Nothobranchius furzeri: one gene and its partner. The protein of the gene in region 2 binds, or shares a complex with, the protein of the main gene of each other region. Links are inferred from orthologs where the notes say so. Each region holds a gene or a part of one and is shown on either strand. Other genes may lie near its edges. The genes, in order: polr2l and ercc3.

Evidence for each region.
Region 1: ercc3 (region 2) and polr2l share a complex: the UniProt entries of both Homo sapiens proteins name them as parts of the TBP-based Pol II pre-initiation complex. The link is inferred for Nothobranchius furzeri from reciprocal best matches to the Homo sapiens genes ERCC3 and POLR2L.

What each region holds. Positions count from the first base shown.
Region 1 is NC_091749.1:62,787,222-62,797,162, reverse strand, and holds polr2l (DNA-directed RNA polymerases I, II, and III subunit RPABC5), read right to left. Parts: upstream 4,914-9,941; 5' UTR 4,775-4,913; intron 4,393-4,774; 5' UTR 4,383-4,392; coding exon 4,288-4,382; intron 4,019-4,287; coding exon 3,910-4,018; 3' UTR 3,777-3,909; downstream 1-3,776. Other genes in the region: cleavage and polyadenylation specificity factor subunit 7, read left to right, coding at 1-139, 342-445, 525-670, 752-1,094, 1,395-1,495, 2,577-2,721, 2,806-3,040. UniProt on the Homo sapiens protein: DNA-dependent RNA polymerase catalyzes the transcription of DNA into RNA using the four ribonucleoside triphosphates as substrates.
Region 2 is NC_091749.1:40,318,388-40,329,340, reverse strand, and holds the start of ercc3 (general transcription and DNA repair factor IIH helicase/translocase subunit XPB), read left to right. Parts: upstream 1-4,961; 5' UTR 4,962-5,104; coding exon 5,105-5,132; intron 5,133-5,312; coding exon 5,313-5,509; intron 5,510-5,593; coding exon 5,594-5,830; intron 5,831-5,909; coding exon 5,910-5,959; intron 5,960-6,037; coding exon 6,038-6,173; intron 6,174-7,663; coding exon 7,664-7,834; intron 7,835-7,905; coding exon 7,906-8,110; intron 8,111-8,226; coding exon 8,227-8,541; intron 8,542-8,653; coding exon 8,654-8,838; intron 8,839-9,607; coding exon 9,608-9,810; intron 9,811-9,897; coding exon 9,898-9,994; intron 9,995-10,953. Other genes in the region: gtf2f2a (general transcription factor IIF subunit 2), read right to left, coding at 523-596, 1,079-1,144; gpalpp1 (GPALPP motifs-containing protein 1), read right to left, coding at 3,100-3,318, 3,394-3,495, 3,586-3,750, 3,856-4,105, 4,211-4,276, 4,352-4,463, 4,565-4,649. UniProt on the Homo sapiens protein: ATP-dependent 3'-5' DNA helicase/translocase. Binds dsDNA rather than ssDNA, unzipping it in a translocase rather than classical helicase activity. Component of the general transcription and DNA repair factor IIH (TFIIH) core complex.

The DNA of each region.
Region 1 (9,941 bases), about 22 Mb from region 2:
TGGAACGGTTGATCAAGACAAAAAGACGATCACTAAGGAAGCTTCGGCTAAAAAAGAGGATAAACCAAAAGATGGGAATGCACATAAAGGAAGAGACTCTTCAGTGAGACTCTCTTTATACATTGGGAATTTCTCTTGGGTAAGCAGTACAACCCAGTTAGTGTTATTGTAGGAAATCTGCAAAAGCTGTTTTTTTCTTTTGTTATATATATATCATCTCCACATACATAATTATGTTGCAGTGCCTCTTGAGTTGCCTTTTACTGTAATTATTTCTTGTCAAACTTTGTCTTTTTATCCATAGACATGTTCCCTCCCCTAAAATATGCTTCTACTTACAGTGGACATCTGATGAAGACCTTTTAAATATAGCCAAAAGACTGGGTGTAAAGGACGTCGAAGAGATCAAATTTGCTGAAAACAAAGTTAACGGCCTGTCAAGGGGGTAAATATATTTAAAAATACCACTAAATACTTTTGCTTTGGATTCATAATTATGTATTCCACATCTCTTTGTGTTCCAGCTATGCAGAAGTGGTGGTGTTGTCTGAAAATTCCTTTAAAATATTATTGGAAAAAATACCACAATGCCATATCAATGGGGAGAAATTAGTGTGCCGTTATGCCACTCTCCAGAATCTTTCTGTATTTGAGGATATCGCAAATAAACGTAAGATATGGCTATAATTCATTATATCACAAAATTTATTGACTGACTTTCTTTAAAAAAAACCTTTTTACTCATTCACAGGTATGCCCGTACAAGCTAGTTCCGATTCTAAAGAATCTATTTCCACACAAAAGACTTCCACACCAGTATCATCACAGCAGCCCAGGAACCCTCCTGGACCTCCACCTTTCCCACCACCTTCATTTCCACCTAGTTTTCCTCCATCGCCCAGTCCTTTCCTCCTTCAGCCACCCCCTCTGTTCCCAAACATGCCACCTGTAATGTCGCCACTCATTCCACCTCCTTTGTTCTCGCTGCATCCTGCTCAGACAACTGGCCAACCACCTTCTGGTTTTCACATGAGTCCTCCTTTCTTCAGCCAGACACAGGAAAGACCGAGCAGACCGTTATACAGCCAACCAGCGTAAGAGCACGTTTTGTGTTATCAACGCCATACGATCTAGGACTCTGGAAGGTGCCGTATGAAATACAGGCCATTTACTGTAAGAAATAAAAAAAAAGACTTCTTCACAGTGCGATTGTCCAAAAGCCTATGGAATGTTGTTGGAAAAAGGAGAAAAATAAAGTTGTTGCTTGCTATTACCCTAGTGAACTAGACCAAATTCTTGCTTTGCAAAGTTTGAATAGTTAAAAGTTAAATAATGTATTTATTTAGTCTGGCTTGCCGGGCTTGTTTGCTAACATTATTCTGTTTTTGGTCCAGAAAACTCTCTCAAAGCAAAGACGATTTTGAAGAACTAATGAGCAGAAACCAGACCATTGCCAGCAGTGCAATCACCAAGGCCATATCTGGGGCAACAGCTGGTGAGTACAAATGATCAGGTGCTGTAATTAAAGTACCCAGAACCTCATAAACCACACGGGGAAAGGATTATTCCTTACAGTTTTGGTTTCCCCAATACCTGTGTCGTCACGGAGAAGGCATCTTGTAGGATGTCGAAACTTTCAGGTAAAAAAAAAAACCTTTTCATCTAAGATACTTGCCCAAGAAGAAACAGATATTTTATTAGTTTTACCAATGTGTAATGAATTTCATACTAATTTAAAAAATGTACTTTTTGTTTTACATTTTTAAATAATTTACGATTGTTTTATTGGCGGCTAGTGATTTAAATTTTAAGAGTTCTGTTGTAATTAAAAGCAAAAACATCCCAGTAAGCATACTTTCATATTGTGCAATTGCAATCAAATATAAGAAGGTAAAAAAAAAAAATTGTACATTTGTACTTTAAGATGGACCTCTAAAAAGTTCTTAAGGGTCAACTTTATTCATGTTTTTTAATACATTTGCAGTGGTTTCTAGTAGGAATGAATGCCTTGTAGTTCGTACTCTGGGGGACAAGAAGCTCCGGTGCGCCTGTTTGAGGACGTAGATGCCAGCTGGAGGAGAACGTAGCTTCAGACGGCAGGATTTAGAGTTTTATTTCCTGATATTTGGATATCTTGCCTTGGATTGGCTAACTGCAACATGACTCTACCACTGACTACATTTGCTTTGCAACGTTGATTTATCTCCACAAATGACACAAGTCTGAAGGAGTTCTGCTGTTGTGGAGTTGCTAATGCTAATCATTAGCATCTACTAGTCGAGACGTTCACTGCCGTTTCCTGGACGGTAAACCAACAACAGATTTCCCCGTCGCGAGTCAAGATGGGTGAGTCCATGAATGTTAAGTGACAGTGTGACTAGATCTGTCAGGCTTTTCTGAACCGAGTGTGTTTCCGTCTAGTGTCTATCAAAAGCTAATGAAGGAAATAGGGGTAGAAGACTGTTTTCATGGTTAAACTCAGTCATTGATCATTTTCAAAAATAAGTTAAAAAAATTTGTTTCCCACTGAACCTGCTTTTTAAAAGACGATCTTATTTCCTGAATTTCTAATGCAGGAGAGCAGCAGATGGCCATGGAGACACTATTAACGGCGATTGCCATCATAAAGCAGTCTAAAGTGCACGGGGATGAACGCTGCCGAGCTTTGGTCACCTCACTCAAAGACTGTTTAGTCTCGATCCAAAGCAACTGTGAAACCAGGTTTGTATATTTAGGAAACTTGGTTTGAGTGCTTGTCTTTCTTAGAGGGTTAAGCTTTTTTCTAATTAAAGATTTTCTTTTTAGCAGGCGTTCAAGAGAGAAAGACAGAGACCGGGACAGAGGTCGTGAAAGAGACCACGACCGCGACAGAGATCGTGACAGAGAGCGATACCGAGATCGTGACCGAAGTGACTCTTACAGCAGGGAAGGTGCGGGAACGTCTCGAAGACATAGAGAACATTCCTGGAGTGGAGACAGGGACAAAGAGCGCTTACGAGAGCGAGAAAGACATCGAGATTACAAAGACCGATACTACTAACCTGGTAAGATAAACAGACTTAACTACAAAAGTTATATATGCTAAAAATTACATTGAGTCAGGGGAGCATTTCTTCCTTTATAAACATTTTAAATGAGCAGTTATTTGTATTCTAATCTTCACTGTAGGTCAGACACAATATCAGGATAATATACAGCTCTTTAACGTCTGAATTTAATATGAATGCATTAACTGAAATCACGAAAGATTGGCATCCCTTTATTTTTTTTACTCTGACTTTGTTCTGGTTTTGTTCCCTTTTCTCCCCAGACTGAAGAATCCTGCCGGGGAAAGATGAGCATTTTCTTGCACCAAGGTTGATAAATGTCAAAACTCTTTGAAGCTGAGACATTGGATGTTTGAAAGTATGAAACCTACTTTTTATCAGTTATATTCACCATGTCTGATTTGTTTTAAGAAAAAGTTGTGTAGATTCATTCTTGTATTATAGAATTTCAACATGCATGTAGTGAACACCTGTTAATAACTTGTTTTCATTCTTTTTTTTGTATAAATTCTACAAATAAAAAAAAATCCTCCAGTGTTTTGTTATAACTAACTACACAAAGCTGTAAAATTATGTCACATTGACAGGAAATAGACATTTAATCATTCATCAATTTTTCCAATCTCATGAAATGAACTATGCGATTAAAACCATTAATTTCCAAAGCTAAGATCTGAAGAGCTAGTCGTTGCCAACCACATAAAATGTAGACGCATGGACGAAAGAAAGCAAGGTTATTCATTTTATTTTAAAAAATCCAGTAATTGAAAAATGTTTCCATAAATTCTTCTCTGTGGTCGTAATTTAAGGTTACATAGTACACACATTCACCCTGATAATGGTGCTACAAAGTCCACAACATTCATTTTTCCAACGGAGCATAATTCAGCAATTTCTCAATAAGATCCACATGAGAAAGAAGCATCCTTCGACAGCAGTACCTCTTCAAGCCAAGAGCGTCAAGAGCATCACTAGGGAGGGAGATGGCAAAAATCAGTCCTGATATGTTACATAAACACGTTTTAATCACTGCTGAAAACCATAAGGAAAGGTGAAAGGCATTGTGGTTTAAAAACAAATCTAAACCCAATCTTCTTTTTAAATGTTATTTAGCTTGCCTGCATTGTGACCAAATGTTGAAATGTTCTACCTTTGTAGAAAAGCTACTCAAACACGTGCCAGAACAATTTCGGACGTAAAAAGATCATGAAACGTGAAGCTAGACGTGGTTGTTTCTCACCCCTCTGTGTATTCCGCTTGCAACAGACCGAGGTACGCTTCCCATTTGTTCCCCACAATCTTCCCACAAGTGAAGCACCTCACAGGGATTATCATCGTTAAATACCTGCAACAAAAGTCAACCCGGTTAATGTTTGAAAACAATGTAAAACAATCACAGTTGAGTCGTTTAACTTAAATTACATTTACGTTTCCGCATACCACCGCAGTAAGACCACCATGTGAGCATGTTTTGCTAACGTTAATGCAGCAAAACCTAGCACTGCAACGATTAAAGCAAACACGTATTTAGTTTTTTTTTTCAGATGGATTAATCAATAGTCCAAAAACGAATTACTTAAAAAAGACGGTTGAAATCAAATCTTATGGTTAGTGCTGTATTCCGCTACGTAACTAGCCCACCAGCTAGCGTTAGCTGCTGTTGAAATTATTCCGCTAAACGAACTTACACACGTCATTAGTTTATCACGTTTTACCATATGTTTCACCTTTTGAGGCTGTAGATCAGATGAATGTACTATTTTCTTGGTAAAAGTAACTCCAGCACGATAATGATGGCGTTCTCTCACTCCTTATGTCGTTAAAACAACTTCCGGGTAAAATCCGCCAAAATAAAAGCGGAATAAGAGGTGAGCGTTTCCTGTGATTTGCAAAATTGACCCCCCCCCCCCCCCAAAAAAAAAAAAACGAAAATGGGGAAACTGACACGGAAAACGTGTGAGCGTCTTCGTCTATTTGGTTTTAATAAATGTGGTGCAAAAGTGAAATAACAATTCATTAGAATCACAATATTGCTACTGAATAATGACCACAGCTCACTTCATAAACGAGCGTATAAAAATGGCAGTACTCCCCATCAAACTTAGCTAACATGTCAAGTCACTCACCTCACAATGTATTTTTCCTTTTACAAAACAAACAACTTTGAAGCAAAAGTATTAATATCCATGTAACCACAGATAAAGGAGTTTAAAAACTCTAACATTTTCCTTGATATAACTAATAAATGCAATTGCAATTCAATATACCATCTTGACAGAATGTTAAGGAAAAGAGCTAAATTAGTTGATTAAAACTAATGTTTTTGAAGGTGGTACCATGCAAAAATAAAATCTTCATCCAATGCAGATAGTTACACAAATTAATATTAACATGAATCCACAAAAGAAATGCTCACTATAGGACTGGTTCACTGCCTTTAATAAGATTGAATTTCAGATTTGTCATATTTTACATTTAAATGATTGGACTCATAGAGGAGGGTGCATAAAGAAAATATTTAAAATATAAAACATACATATTATTTCCACCATAGTCATCTTTACAGTCAGCATGATAAATGTCATTATCATTACCATCAGTAACATTATACAGTAATACATCATCTATGTAATTTCATTTGCTACAGCACATATGCTAAATGAGGAATCCTACCTGAATTATTGCATTTATACGCTGTTGAAATTATGAAAATAGGAGTTTTCATATTCTTTTGTTTTTTAAGAGTACACTGTATTGTACAATGTAAGGTGAAATTTATTTTTGTGTTGACTTACTACTTTTTGAACATGTCAGAGGAGCTGTCTAGTGATGGTGATATGCTCTTATGAGTTTTTTAGGGGGTATAAAATATGGTGAAGCTATACATTCTGGTTGTCAAAACTACCTTTCTACCAAACAGAGACAACCGGATGAGTTTTACAGTTGCAAGCTGAAAGGCTAGTGAGCCACTGTACAGGTGTGTTTGTGCAGTAACAAATTCTTTTCCCCCTTTCAGTGAAGTATGAGTACTACTTTTATGCTATTATAAATGCTTTCATTACATATTTTTGGTGGGTGACTTTGAAAACACACAGAGTGGCATAAAAATTGACTCAATTCTAGTGGCTGACTGGCTGTGGGCTTTCAAACCCATATAGAGGTTAGAATAAACACGCAAACCAACTTCTTCTTTTGTCCCAGAACGTGTCATATTTCAGTGTTTAATAATGTTTTGGTTTATTTTAAACCCAATGAGTTTGTCTTTGTTACTCTTCACCAGAGGTCTGCAACCTTTACTATCCAAAGAGCTGTTTCCCACACTGTTACAGGGCTTTCAGAAAACAGACAATGAATTTTTGAGAAATGTCTAAAAATTAATCAGAATTCTGAGGTTGAAATCATGATTCTGACTTTTTTGTTTTTAGATTATAGTCACAACTCTTGTTTTATCTTCTATCAGTATCTTCTCTATGGGATTTGATTAAGTTTTTAAATTAGGAAAAATGAAATAAAACTTTTGCAAAAACTGTATGAATATCATTCTGTATATCAGGAAAGTTATAAAAATAGTGTAATTCTGTTGAGGAAATTGAATGCAATTGATTCTGTGAAAATACAGAACAGTAGCTTGAATCTGCATTATTATATTAATATATATTTTTTTAAATTAGTATTTTACCATTTTTAGAATACATTATTAAGAGCAATTGTGGAAGCTCCAAAGAGCCGTACTTGGCTCCAGAGCTGTAGATTGCAGACCCCTGCTCAATACAAAGGTTTACCATATTTTTTTGCCACCAACGTACAATGTAGATGTAACGAGTGACACCACAGAATCAACCCAGGAACACTGATTTATTCCTGAGTGACAGAACTGAATAAAAAGGTTTTTCTTTCCAGAATGACAAATGTCAGTTTGACACACTTGGAAAATGATGGAAAGTTGAGGAAATCTGCAAATTCTTGCCACAAATAGGCTCTAGTCCACATTATTAGTAGTGGCCTTGTTGATTACTGGGCCAGTATTAGCCCTGTGAAGGTCAGCTGTTGCCTGTACCCATGCTCATACTTATTCTCAATATATCTAATTCCACCTGTGCAGGTGTTTCTTTTAACAAAAGATCCATAATCCTTTGCTATGCATAAACGTGACTGTTCGTTCACCAACTCTTTCAAATATTCTATTTTAAAGTAAGAGAACTGTGATTGCTCAAAAACATCATGAACACAGTGGATATATAATTTTGAAATATTTACACAAAATTAACCAAGCTCATTCACTGTGTCGGAATGCACAAATATTGCAACCTCAGGTCAATATTTGCTCACGCTGGATTAAACTAAATAAAGCAGACAGTTGTGTTTAAAAGGTTTAGGCATCAAGCTGAGGAATAAGTCTTTTTATAATATTTTTAATTAATTTTACATTATGCTGTGCTGTTGAGACTTCATGCATGTATTATTAGTGTAATTATTCTCCATATACAGCCTTGGTAAAAACTTAAATGGGGTGATTCTCTACACGTGAGATCAGGTCAAAAACAAACAATAAATAAATAAAATATTGTCTTTCCAATCTCTTATCCAAACCATATAGTCAGCCGTTCTTCTAATTTGGTTTTAATTTCTCCTCGCCAGGAGCAACGCTCCCAGCAAGATGGCTCCTGCAGCAATAACAGCGCCACCGATGAGAAAAGGCTTCAGGTGCTCCAGAGAGTCTGTGCCAGAGGCCGCAGCGTCCTCACTTCCTGCTGCTGCTGCTGATTCAGCTGCTGTTCCTCCATCGTTGGAGGAGGGGGGGTTCTCAGGCTCAGGGGCTGCAGGGGCAGGGTCAGCCTTGCATGGTGCTGCTGGCTCCTTCTTCTCTGCTTTGGATGTTGCCTTGGGTGCTGAAGCCCCAGACTTGGCCTTAGCTTCCATGGACTCAGAGACACAGGTGCGGCGTGGTCAGGAGTTGTTATAAGGTCAGCTGCGTGCTGCTTCACTGAGGTGAAAAATAAATAAAAGCACAGAAGTAGACAGATTACCCTTCTAAATTAGACGCAGTCGTCATGTTATCTGCTCTGATGATTATAGACAGACTGAAACATGAATGAGGCCCTGATATCCATCTGTTTGCTCAGCCTTGAATCAGTGAAGCCATAAATGTGACCTTGGGAAAAGACGACATTGATGGGAGCTCTCCAAATGCTCACAGGGACATGAAAATATTTATTTTGGTCACAGCTGCTCTGACTTAACTGCTAGATGAAGTAGGATTTACATTTAAAGCAGCTTCCTGTGCTAAGCTATTTTATAGGACAATTGGGTAATTTAGTAATGGATGCTAGAGCTTCAATGCAAAAGAGATTTGAATCTCTATTTCTTTGACCTCGGGAAGAGCCTGGTCCAGATGCAAATACATAAAGATCTAATCTTGATGTTAAACTTAAGCGCATGCACCCACCATTAATATATCTCAATAATTAAATGTGCAAGAAATGGGCCGCAAGATGGAGGAGAGAGCAAGAGTGTGATGGATGAAATAAGCAAGAAAACAAATGAGGCTTAATTTAGTAGAGTGGATTTGTCCCAGTAGCCTGAATGTTACAAAATGTAGCCTGGATGCATTATTTACACAAATATATTATTTTAAATCATTCTCTAAACTAGGATGAAACATATGAACATTATTTACCTTTTCAACACCTATGCATAGATGAGAAGAATAACAGACGTGTAAAGGAGGCAGAGCTGTCTCTGGAAGTTGGAAATGTCCTCAGTATTAGAAAATGAGAGACAGCGGAGAGATGGAGGACGCTGAAAATAGGAGGGAGGGGAAGGAGAGCATGAGGAAGGGAGGCTGGGATGTACCATCTGGAACTTAAAATGGGGTACTATGTTCCATGATGGGTTTTTTTCTACAGCTTTAGGCAGCATTGATTCAGTGAGACAAAATCCACATTTCAGTTAGATTGTCTTTTATAAAACATACATATCTTTTATTTTATTTTTTAATTATTTTGGTTTGATGCCACATTGTTATAGAATCATTTTGAAAGGTTGTATAAAAAAAGAAGTTATTACCACTTTCATGATTAAAATATCTTTTCTGCAGAGCACAGGACCCCATTGTTAGAAAATGAAGCACACACAAAAATTAATTCGATTGTTAATTATAGTAAGTTGAGAGTATTGAAAATAAATACAGATTTACAAAAAAGTAAATGGAAAGCTAGGCCAATTTCCAAATTTATTCTGCTTGAAAGATCACACCTTATTGGTCAGTTGGCTGACAGTGGAGTTGTTAATCATCGTCGTTGTCTTCCTCCGCTTATCCAGGTCCGGGTCGCGGAGGCAGCATCCCAACTAGGGAACTCCAGACCGTCCTCTCCCCAGCCATCTCCACCAGCTCCTCCGGCAGGACCCCAAGGCGTTCCGGGGCCAGATTGGAGATGTAACCTCTCCAACGTGTCCTGGGTCGACCCGGGGGCCTCCTGCCGGCAGGACATGCCCGAAACACCTCCCCAGGGAGGCGTCCAGGAGGCATCCTAACCAGATGCCCAAACCACCTCAACTGACTCCTTTCGATCCGGAGGAGCAGCGGTTCTACTCCGAGTCCCTCCCGAATGTCCGAGCTCCTCACCCTATCTCTAAGGCTGAGTCCAGCCACCCTACGGAGGAAACTCATTTCGGCCGCTTGTATCCGCGATCTCGTTCTTTCGGTCATTACCCAAAGCTCATGACCATAGGTGAGGATTGGGACGTAGATCGACCGGTAAATCGAGAGCCTGGCTTTCTGGCTCAGCTCCCTCTTCCCCACGACAGATCGGCTCAGCGTCCGCATCACTGCAGACGCCGAACCAATCCGCCTGTCGATCTCCCGATCCCTCCTACCCTCACTCGTGAACAAGA
Region 2 (10,953 bases):
ACTGTGCTCAATGGGCCTGCCAACTTTCCTGACCCCCATAGAGAATCTGTGGGATATTGTGAAGAGAAAGTTGAGAGGCACAAGACCAAACACTCTGGATGAGCTTAAGGCCGCTATCGAAGCATCCTGGGCCTCCATAACACCTCAGCAGTGCCACAGGCTGATTGCCACCATGTCACGCCGCATTGAAGCAGTCATATCTTCAAAAGGATTCCCAACCAAGTATTGGGTGTATAACTGAACAAAATTATTTGAAGGTTGACTTTTTTTTGTACTGAAAACACTTTTTTTTAGTGGTCGGATGAAATGCAAATTTTTTTGAGATAGGAATTTTGGGTTTTCATGAGCTGTATGCCAAAATCATCAATATTAGAAACAAAGGGCTTGAACTACTTTGGTTGTGCGTAATTAATCTAATATATATGAGTCTGTTTCATCAGTACATTACAGAAAATAATGAACTTTATCACAATATGCAATTTTTTTTACAAGGACCTGTATATAGACATTATTTATACATACTTGCATATTCTGAGTTTCCCTACTTCTCCTCTGCCAGTTGCTTTTGCCCATTGCTGAGAGAGGTATTTTGGCACCTGTATGCAGAAACATGAATGCTACTTCTCACTTTAATAAAAGGTACATCAAACCATTCTTGTAGCAAAATATGGAAAATTCGTTGTATCAAAACTATTTAGGAAATATAAAAGTAGAGTGGAACAATCCTTTATTCAAACTGTAGTGACACAACTTCCACAAGAAGAAACCCAGATGCTGCTGCGAACCTGTCACGTAGCTTTAGCTAACAGCCAAACGACTACTCTCTATAAAGGCGTTAATTTGCAAGTGAACACAATCCTAAATCTAACACAGCTGTCATGCGTGAATAGTTTTCCTGAGATTATCTTCGAATGTTTCAACTTAATCACGAAGCACAACTTAACTCGGTTAACTACGAAAAACCACGAACAACTTCATTTCAGTTTTGCTAAGCTAGGAAACGTTTAGCCTCTTTTAAATGAAGCGGTCAAACGTAAAGCTCAGTAACTAATGCATATCGGAATGAATATAAACACACCTTAACAAGCCACACACCAGTATTTTGCTTTGCTCCAGTTAAGTCTACCTCTCCTTTTTCTGACATGTTTCAAAACGATGCTAAAGTAAACTGCATCAATCACTAAGCGCATGCGCGCACAAAACAGGTAGCTAGCTACGGCAAGTCGGATGGTTAGACACATTTTTATAAATAATCGTTTACATTTACTTGTTTACTTTAAAACCAAAACCCACACAGAAAAACAATTTGAGATATTTTTTTAGCTCAAGCTATAAAGAAGTGCTACTTGCCTATGAGAAGCCTGCAAAAAAAAAATAAATAAATAAATGACAGCACATTTCATAGCAATTTGTTTATAATTTGCTGGTACTGTTTTTGTAATTTTAATGTTTATTTTACTTATTGGGGTATCATTCGGGTTCTGAACAGCAGAGGCAAAAATAATGCAATAAGTCTGTCAAAGAAAGTCTAGTTTTAGCCAGTTTGGGGTTAATAAGTAGGATATATTATTTGCATGGCAAGAAGTTGGTCTAGTTCACTATAGGCTAGATTCCAAACACCAACAGCATTTGGAAAAGAATATAAGAGTAGTTGCTGCCCTCCAGTGTCTAAAAAGCCAGAACTACACTCGGTCGGTATATATATATATGACATTACTGACTTTAACACATACTCATTTATACATTCAGTGCCTAAGCATTAGAGTACAGGGCACAGAGATCATCTACATTCATTCCACAGTCATATATTTGCATAATTAAACTTTATTCTAAGAAATTCACTGGATGGATATATCCCATTCATAGAAGAAACTATTTTAACTTCCTTGTCCTATCCAAGCTTTAAAAAATCCTAATCTCTCTTTTTGTCCTCTTGGGAATATTGATATTAAAGAGGAGAAGAAGGAACTGGATTTCTCTAAATTCTTCCAAACTGTTTTGTTGCCTTGTAAGAACGGGCAATGTGCGGCCTCTGCTGGCAAGAAATAAAACAACACTCTGGAGTCCAACAGCATTTAGAAAATAATGTAAGATGGAGAGTTGCTGCCCTCCAGTAAGTAAGTAAGTAAAAGTTTATTTATATAGCGCCTTTCACAGATATAAATCACAAAGCGCTGTACAACATGATAAAGATCAGGGCAAATACCTCTAACCAATAAAAACATCAGAAAAACAATAGCAGTGATAAAGTAGAAAATTAAATCATGAGTATAAACAAAGTGAAAGTGTGAACCCGAACAAAGCCATCATTCTGAAACATTTAGGGAGGGAACGCCTGGATGAAAAGGTGAGTTTTTAGATGATTTTTAACCACTTCATCACAGCTTAGAGGTTACATTACTACATAGTATTCAGTAGTATGGTTATGTTTTTATGGACAGGCTGGTTTAAGACAAATAATGTTTTAACTTACATTCGGAACATTATAAAATCTGTTGTAGATGATAGGGTGACAAGAGGTCAGGTTAAAAATTTTGAAGGTGATCCTGCAAATAAAAAGACAAACTAATAATAATAAAATTTAAAAAAAAAAAAGACAAAATCACCACACTTTAAAAAAATGACATGAATGACAGTAAGCAGAACAGTTGTCACCATATTGGTGTGGTGGAGATGTATGTCCAATCTAATCTCAACAACAAAAAAGATTATGCGGTTTACAAAAACTTAGCAAGTATTTTAATGAGAAGTTTAATGAGAAATTAAAATCAATAGTACAACATAATAGTATAACAAAGAAACATTTGCAGTTTTACAAGCAAACACACAACTTACACAATGCTAAGAATGGGTGCAGGCAGAAGCATAAGCTTATAAGTATTTTAATGATTTGAACAGCTTTCTAAAATTTGAATTCCAATAAAAACAAATGAACTACCTTGTAGAATACAGTCATTATACAAATGTACAAATTCTAAGAAATTCACATGTTTGTATTCAATCCATTCTAGTTTACAACCAGTCCACGTTGTATAAACTTTTTAACTTAAGTAAAACCAGTGAACCTGCTAATGACAGCATTTTTCGGATGCTTTGGGGTTACAAGAACATTCGGTCCTTGCTGTGGGAGAACCGTGTGTTCAGTTCCTGAGATTTCTTCAGCAGCCGCTGCTTTTGAGCCTCATCAAATCGATTAACCTGCAAGTCCTCATCACGATCAAATGGCCTCCTTTCCACTGGGTTGTCAGCTTTCTCCTTTGCCTTTTCCTTAATCTTCTTTGCATGCATACTCATCAGGGACTCTGCCCGTTTAGACTCCTGAAACCAGACAGGAAGGCACCTTCAGTCATGACTTTGATGGGGACCTTTCAGGTTAATAAGGTGCAGACTTACATTATATTTAGATACTTTCTCTGCCATTTCCAAGTCCTTCTGAGTAACTTGTGGTGCGTTATCTTTCTTTGTCTCACTTGTCTTTTTTCCTTCAAGTCGTTCCTATTAAAGAAACAAACATTGATACTGAGGAATAATATACATTAACTAATATGTTGAACACTGTAAGCGGTGGGTGATTTTTTTAGGTACCCTAGCCTTGCGCTCTCTGTCTGCTGGTGTATCCGTCCAAATGGAGCGATCCTTGTTCTCTGGACCTGACCTTTTCTTGAAAGTACGAGCACCCAAACCAATGTGCTGCAGTTCTGGTGGGAGCTCTGTCATCCACGTTTCTCTAGTTACCACCTCTGGAACATCCTAATTACGCAGAGGACAAACAAGAACACATTAAGACACAAAGAAGAAACAGCCCCCTTTTATAATTTAATTATTATGAGGAGAAAAATGTTAGAGAAAAATTACCACTCTTGTTAGCTTATCTTTCATCCTTCGTGCCCTGCACTCAAAATCATGAGCAACAGAATCTTGAATCGGTCCTTTAGCAGGCATGGGTCCAATCACGTCCTCCTCCTCTCCCTCGCTGCTGGAGGGTTCGGGACAGTAGCCCCGAGGAAGGGCAGGTCCTGGAACAATTTCTTCCTCATCATCATCATCACTGTCATATTCAGTCCTGCAGAACCCAGGAGGCAGAGCTGGCCCCAACACAGGTGCCCTGAGAAAATACCATCACAAACAAATGTCACACTGTTATCCTAAACAGGAAGTGTCCTTACACGTGCTATTTATGTTACTAGAGAATATTGATGTTTCTGCTCACCTTTCTGGTGAATGTTGCTTTTTATATCCTGGAGGCAGAGCTGGTCCAAAGAACCCATCATCATCCCTGTTCAGAAACACATGTTAGTCAAGTTCGTTCTATTTCTTTTAACTAACAAATGAGACCAGAACCAGAACTCACTCTGCAGCTCTCCCAGTCTTGGCTCGCTTAGCTGCCACCTCTGGTTCACTTTCATCTGAGGAGCTAGACTGTTCACCCCGTTTATACCCAGGAGGTAAAGCAGGACCAGCAACTAGACGGCGACATAAATAAAACTGTTAGCTAAAAGTGAACAGAGCAACCCGAAAAGATCAATTGCCACAACACGTTAGCTTCTAACAAAACGTATCTTACAATCTTTTTCGTCAACGTCGTCCTCAGAGCTCTCATTTCCAAATATCGGAGGCAAAGCAGGTCCTATAATTTTATCAGAGGACATCTTTGCTAACAATTTCGTTACGTATTTTCAGGGGATATTAAACAAAACCTGTATTTACTCTATGGCTTTTAACCTAGGAAGTAAACAATAGAGCAGCAGCGGAAGTCTTCAAAGTGTTCTGCCAAAACAAATGCACCTGCTATTGTGATTTATTTTTAATTAAGATTTTAATAAACACATTTTTGAATAAGTAGTTTTAAAGCTTCGTAAATTGTATTAAACTATCGTAAATATAAGTAATAATCAACTGTACACTGTCTCTGTGGCAAAAACGGAAATATAAAAACTTTTATTTTGAAAGTTTTTGAACGGAAACGCTTGTTATTCAGAGCTCCACTTTAGTGCACAGTCTAGACATCGTTTATTCCTTCATATCATTTAAAGACACGTATTGTGTGTTTACCTAAATACATTTGGGACTATTTTTAAGACTTTACCCATGTAAACCTTTCAAAATGGGTAAAAAAGATAAAGGAGATCGAGGTAAGTTGGTAACGTTTCATTTTAATCTGCGTGGAGCTAGTCACCGAACGCTAACCTGCAATATACTAGCGCAAATACGTCTGAGCAAAATGTAGTTTTGATTCCATGGCATCTTAACATAACTACTGATTTTTAAAATGTTTTAGTAATGTTAATGATTGTTTTGTGGATCTGCTATAGAGAAGAAGTTCAAAAGACGCTACTATGAGGAAGATGACGATGAAGAGGTGACAGTCGGGGAGTCTCAGGAAGCTGTACCTGCTGCTGCAGGGAAGCAGGTGGATGAATCTGGCACAAAACTGGATGAATATGGAGCCAAAGACTACCGCGCACAGATGCAGTTGAAGAATGACCACAACTCCCGTCCTCTCTGGGTGGTATGATGCGTCATTGCTGCTTATAGTCACAGCTGTACCTCAGTAATCTCTTAGAGGTGAAATCTTGTTCTCACTTCTCTACAGGCTCCAGATGGACACATCTTTCTGGAAGCGTTCTCACCAGTATATAAGTATGCCCAGGATTTCTTAGTGGCTATTGCAGAGCCAGTGTGCAGGCCTAACCACATCCATGAGTACAAGCTGACTGCATACTCCTTATATGCAGCAGTCAGTGTGGGGCTGCAGACCACTGATATTATAGAGTACCTGCAGAAGCTCAGTAAAACATCTGTACCTGATGGAATCATCAAGTTCATTGAGGTCAGAGATAGACAGGATGTGATCCTATAGTAACAGTTTATTTTTTTGCTCATCTGTTGTATTTTTCTGCCTCTTTCAGCTTTGCACTGTGAGCTATGGGAAAGTTAAGCTTGTGCTCAAACACAATAGGTAAAGGTCTTTCGTCTCTCTCTGCAAAAACATTTATTTCTTCAGCGGTTTTATTCACTTGTGTTTTCCCTCTTCTAGGTATTTTGTAGAGAGCACCTTCCCTGATGTGATTCAGCGTCTCCTGCAGGATAACGTGATCCGTGAATGTCGTCTTCGCTCTGCAGATGGAGCAGACCCTGAGCTTATTACTGAAGTTGTCCACAGCAAATCAGCAGTATGTCATACTCCTTAAGGATCTGGATGTTGTGGGGATTTGTTGGTTGACGCAGCTCTGTAATATCTCGTGGACTTCGGGAGCAGTTCCACTGGATTCACAGACTGGGGTGGTGGTCCCCCTGTTTAAAAAGGGGGACCGCAGGGCGTTTTCCAACTACAGGGTGATCACACTCATGAGCCTCCCTGGTAAGGTCTATTTCAGGGGTTCTGGAAAGGAGGGTCCGGTGGATTGTCGAACCTCAGATTCAGGATAAGCAATGTGGTTTTTGTCCTGGCCGTGGAACACTGGACCAGTTCTTTAGGGAGGTTCTGGAGGGTGCGCAGGAATTCGCCCAACCAGTCTACCAAACCAGTGCTTTGTGAATGTGAATTTGGTGAAGGCTTTTGATTTTGTCCCTCAGGGGGCCCTGTGGGGGGTACTTTGGGAGTATGGGTACCAGGCCTTGTGATACAGGCTGTCAGGTCCCTGTATGACTGGTGTCAGAGCTTGGTCCACATTGCAGACAGAGATGGGCCATTCCCATCTGTACCGGGTTGGCCCGGGCCGGGTAGCGTAGGTTGTTTACATATCTGGGTGGCCTGGTATTTTTCCGGGCCAACCAAGGCTCATTCTCAGCCCTCTTCTCGAGGGGGTCTGCTTCAGGCCGACCAGGGCCAACACACCCACTGCTGACAGCAAATTCACACCTTCCATTAGAGCAAGCCTCTGATTGGTGGGTAGAATCAGCCCACATGGGCTTAAGACAAGGATGTTTGAAATCAACCGGGCCAGGCTGGGACCAACTGGGGCTACCCGGCCCGGGCCGACCCGATACAGATGGGAATAGCCCATAAGTTTGATCGTTTCCGGTGAGAGTTGGGCACCACCAAGGCTGCCCTTTGTCAGCGATTCTGCTCATAACTTTTATGAACAGGATTTGTAGGTGTAGCCAAGGTTATAAGGGAATCCATTTTGGTGTTCTAAGGATCAGATATCTGCTTTTTGCAGTTGATGTTGTCCTGTTGGCTTCATCAGAACGTGATCTCCAGCTCCTGGATGCCTCCCTGGTGAGGTTTTCCGGGCATGTCCAACTAGGAGGAGACCTGAAGGAAGACCCAGGACATGCTTGAGGGACTATGTCTCTCAGTTTGCCAGGGAATGCCATGGGATTCCCCTGGAGGAGCTGGCCCAAGTGGCTGGGGAGAGGGAAGTCTGAACCTCCCTGCTTAGGCTGCTGCCTCCGTGACATGACCCTGGATACGCAAAAGAAAATGGATGGATGATATTTGAATTTACAGGGGTTTGCAGAAGTTCAAAATAGAACTGAATGAAAATGTCACTGTGTTGAATGTTTTATTCTAGAGATGTATTTAGGAAATAATTAGTGTATAAAATGAAACATTTGGTAGATTTTTGGGAAACGTCTCCCATTTTCTTAAACTAAACCCCCGTTACGTAAAAAGTGTAAAATATTTATTTTTCCTATTACATTTCTCTTTTTTGGCCAGATTTCTAAGTTTGTTCAAGAAAAAGGAGACCCATCCACCTCACAGCAGCCTGTTGATGGACAGACCTCAAACCAGCAGGTCCCTGAGGACATCTTCAGCTACTATGAACAGATGGATAAGGATGAAGAGGAGGAGGAGGAGACTCAGACAGTGTCCTTTGAAGTTCGACAGGTACCACATTTATTGTTTTTTTACAGAAATAATAGGAAGACCATCAACACCCTGTGCTTCATCTGCTGCAGGAGATGATTGAAGAGCTACAGAAGCGTTGTATCCAGCTGGAGTACCCCCTCCTAGCGGAGTATGACTTCCGAAATGACACAGTTAACCCAGACATCAACATAGACCTGAAGCCCACTGCCGTGCTGCGGCCCTACCAGGAGAAGAGTCTGCGCAAGATGTTTGGAAACGGGCGAGCCCGATCAGGAGTCATTGTGCTACCCTGTGGTAGGAAAGCTAGTCCAGAGCTGCCAGGAGAATACAAAACGTTTATTGATAAAATGCAGACTATAAGTTAGAACAGCAAGAAAACAAATGACTGATTTCTTGTTTCTGATTTGAAGGTGCTGGGAAGTCTCTGGTTGGCGTGACAGCGGCGTGCACCGTGCGTAAGCGCTGCCTGGTGCTGGGTAACTCGTCTGTATCTGTGGAGCAGTGGAAGGCCCAGTTCAAGATGTGGTCCACCATCGACGACTCTCAGATCTGCCGCTTCACCTCCGACGCCAAGGACAAGCCCATTGGCTGCTCGGTGGCCATCAGCACCTACTCTATGCTGGGTCACACCACCAAGCGATCATGGGAGGCTGAAAAGGTCATGGAGTGGATGCGGGGCCAGGAGTGGGGGCTTATGATCCTGGATGAGGTGCACACCATCCCTGGTGAGCTCTCGGCAAAATCCAGATAATAAAACCGTTTATTTTTTTATTTTGAATGCAATGGGACGTGGACCTTGTGTTTAATGTGAATTAATAATGTTATTTTTGTCTGCAGCAAAAATGTTCCGACGTGTTCTGACCATTGTCCAGGCCCACTGCAAACTGGGCCTTACTGCCACACTGGTCAGGGAAGATGACAAGATTGTGGACCTCAACTTCCTCATTGGGCCCAAGCTGTATGAAGCCAACTGGATGGAGCTGCAGAACAATGGTTATATTGCCAAAGTTCAGTGTGCAGAGGTAGGTCCTGTAACACTAGAACATAAATGGAAGATTTTAGGAGTAAAACTGGTATTCTTTTAAAACATTAAGCTAGTCACCAGAGCTTTGATGTGCAGTAATTAAACAGTGAGCCGATAAACCAAAATGAGATTCAAGAACACCTCAATAAACTTTCAGATCATTATGATTAGAGGTTCTTTAAATATCTGCTGCATCCTAGACTGGAAATTTCTTGGCAATTCTGCTAAAACAAGTGTGTGTAATGCAAATGTTTTAACAGGTTTTAAAACTATTGTTTACGGGAATTTGGAGTTGTTTTAATATGACAACATGCTTTGGATGTGGGTCTATTTTGAACCATATTTACAAGCTAAAACTTTTCCAAACCTCAAGGTTCAAGGGCATAGCAATCGTAAGAGTTGAAGATTGAAGAATCATTTTTATTTGAGAATCATTTTAGATGAGAGGTGAAGTTTCACCAAGATACAAGAAAATAAATATAGCTGTCCTTTTGTTTGGGCATTCTCTAAAGATCCGAGGGCTCTAGTGGACGATCAAAGAGATTATACTGATATTTGAATAGATGACTAGATACGGCAGCACTGAAAGGATTAACTTGTTTAAAATCAAGACTAAGGCTTTGACAGCAGCTACTGTGTGTCCTGTTGGGTTTAGTAGATATACTTAAGTTTTGATTATCTGGTTTTTACTTCTGAAAGTTTGTACAGCGCTGATTAAGTGGATCCCTGTGTGTGTGTGTGTGTGTGTGTGTGTGTGTGTGTTTCAGGTGTGGTGCCCCATGTCTCCAGAGTTTTACAGAGAGTATGTGGCCATTAAAACAAAAAAGCGCATTCTGCTTTACACAATGAACCCCAACAAGTTCCGGGCTTGCCAGTTCCTCATTCGCTTCCACGAGCGGCGCAACGACAAGATCATCGTCTTTGCCGACAACGTGTTTGCCTTGAAGGAGTACGCCGTTCGGCTCAACAAGTGAGCTTTCAGCGACAGAAGTTTTTCAAATTGTTGCATTAAGTATTCCTGAAATTTTTAATGATACCTTTTGTTGTTTTATGCAAGGCCTTACATCTATGGCCCCACCTCTCAGGGAGAGCGTATGCAGATTTTGCAGAATTTCAAACACAACCCAAAGATCAACACCATATTCATCTCCAAGGTGAAGTGTTCACCCGTCTCTCGCACACACACACTCGCACTTTTCGTTCCAAGTGCGAAGGAGGGGTGCCCTTTGATCCTTAAGAATTTTCTTGAAGCTTTATCTCGTCCGGGAACATCTTCTCTAACACCCTAACAAGCCTAGCCATCATTTAATTTACACTAATTGTCCCACCTTCAAAATAGATTTTAATGTATTTAGTGCTTAATGCTTATACAGTGATTTGTTCTGCACTAAAGCTTTGATGTTTGTTCGTACTTGCAGGTAACCTTGGGTTTAGATTTGTCCAAAGTAACAATACTGTTGATGAAAATGTATTATGTATATTAAATACGATTTATTTATTCAGAAAATTAACAAGGCCAGTAATTACTTAAGTAATGTTAGTTGTTCTCTGTGTAATTTGCATTTAAAAATCAATTCTTTGGTAAAAAAAAAACCAAGTCAACTCTTTTTTTTTGTTGTAGTATCAGAATTTCATATTTTTATGAAATAATTCAGAGAAATAACTTATTTTTCCCTCTCTTTAAATGTAAAGGTAAAGAGTAAAACTACAATTGGAAATGAAATAGTTGATTTCTATTATTAACATTTTTATTTTATAAGATTAGATTGCAACTTCAGGGCTGTAATTATGAGTTATCCTGGATTCTCCTTCAATTTTCATTTGGTAAGCCAGATAGGTCAAATTAAAAATTAAACATAAAGCATGCTAACTTGCTTTTGTAGCAGATCACAACGTTTTCATGAAATCAGATGTTTTTGCACAAAATAACAAAACATTCTAAAATAACACGGGTAAAAATGTAGGTCTTTACATTTGTGGCTACATGTGAAAATCAGTCAAGCAGCAGAGTAAAACTAACAGACTTCTGTGTTGTTGTTTAATGTGTGTGTTTTTTTTAATGTTTTCAAAGGAAGTGGAGACCAGAGGTGGAAATTACTAAAATTTCCTACTT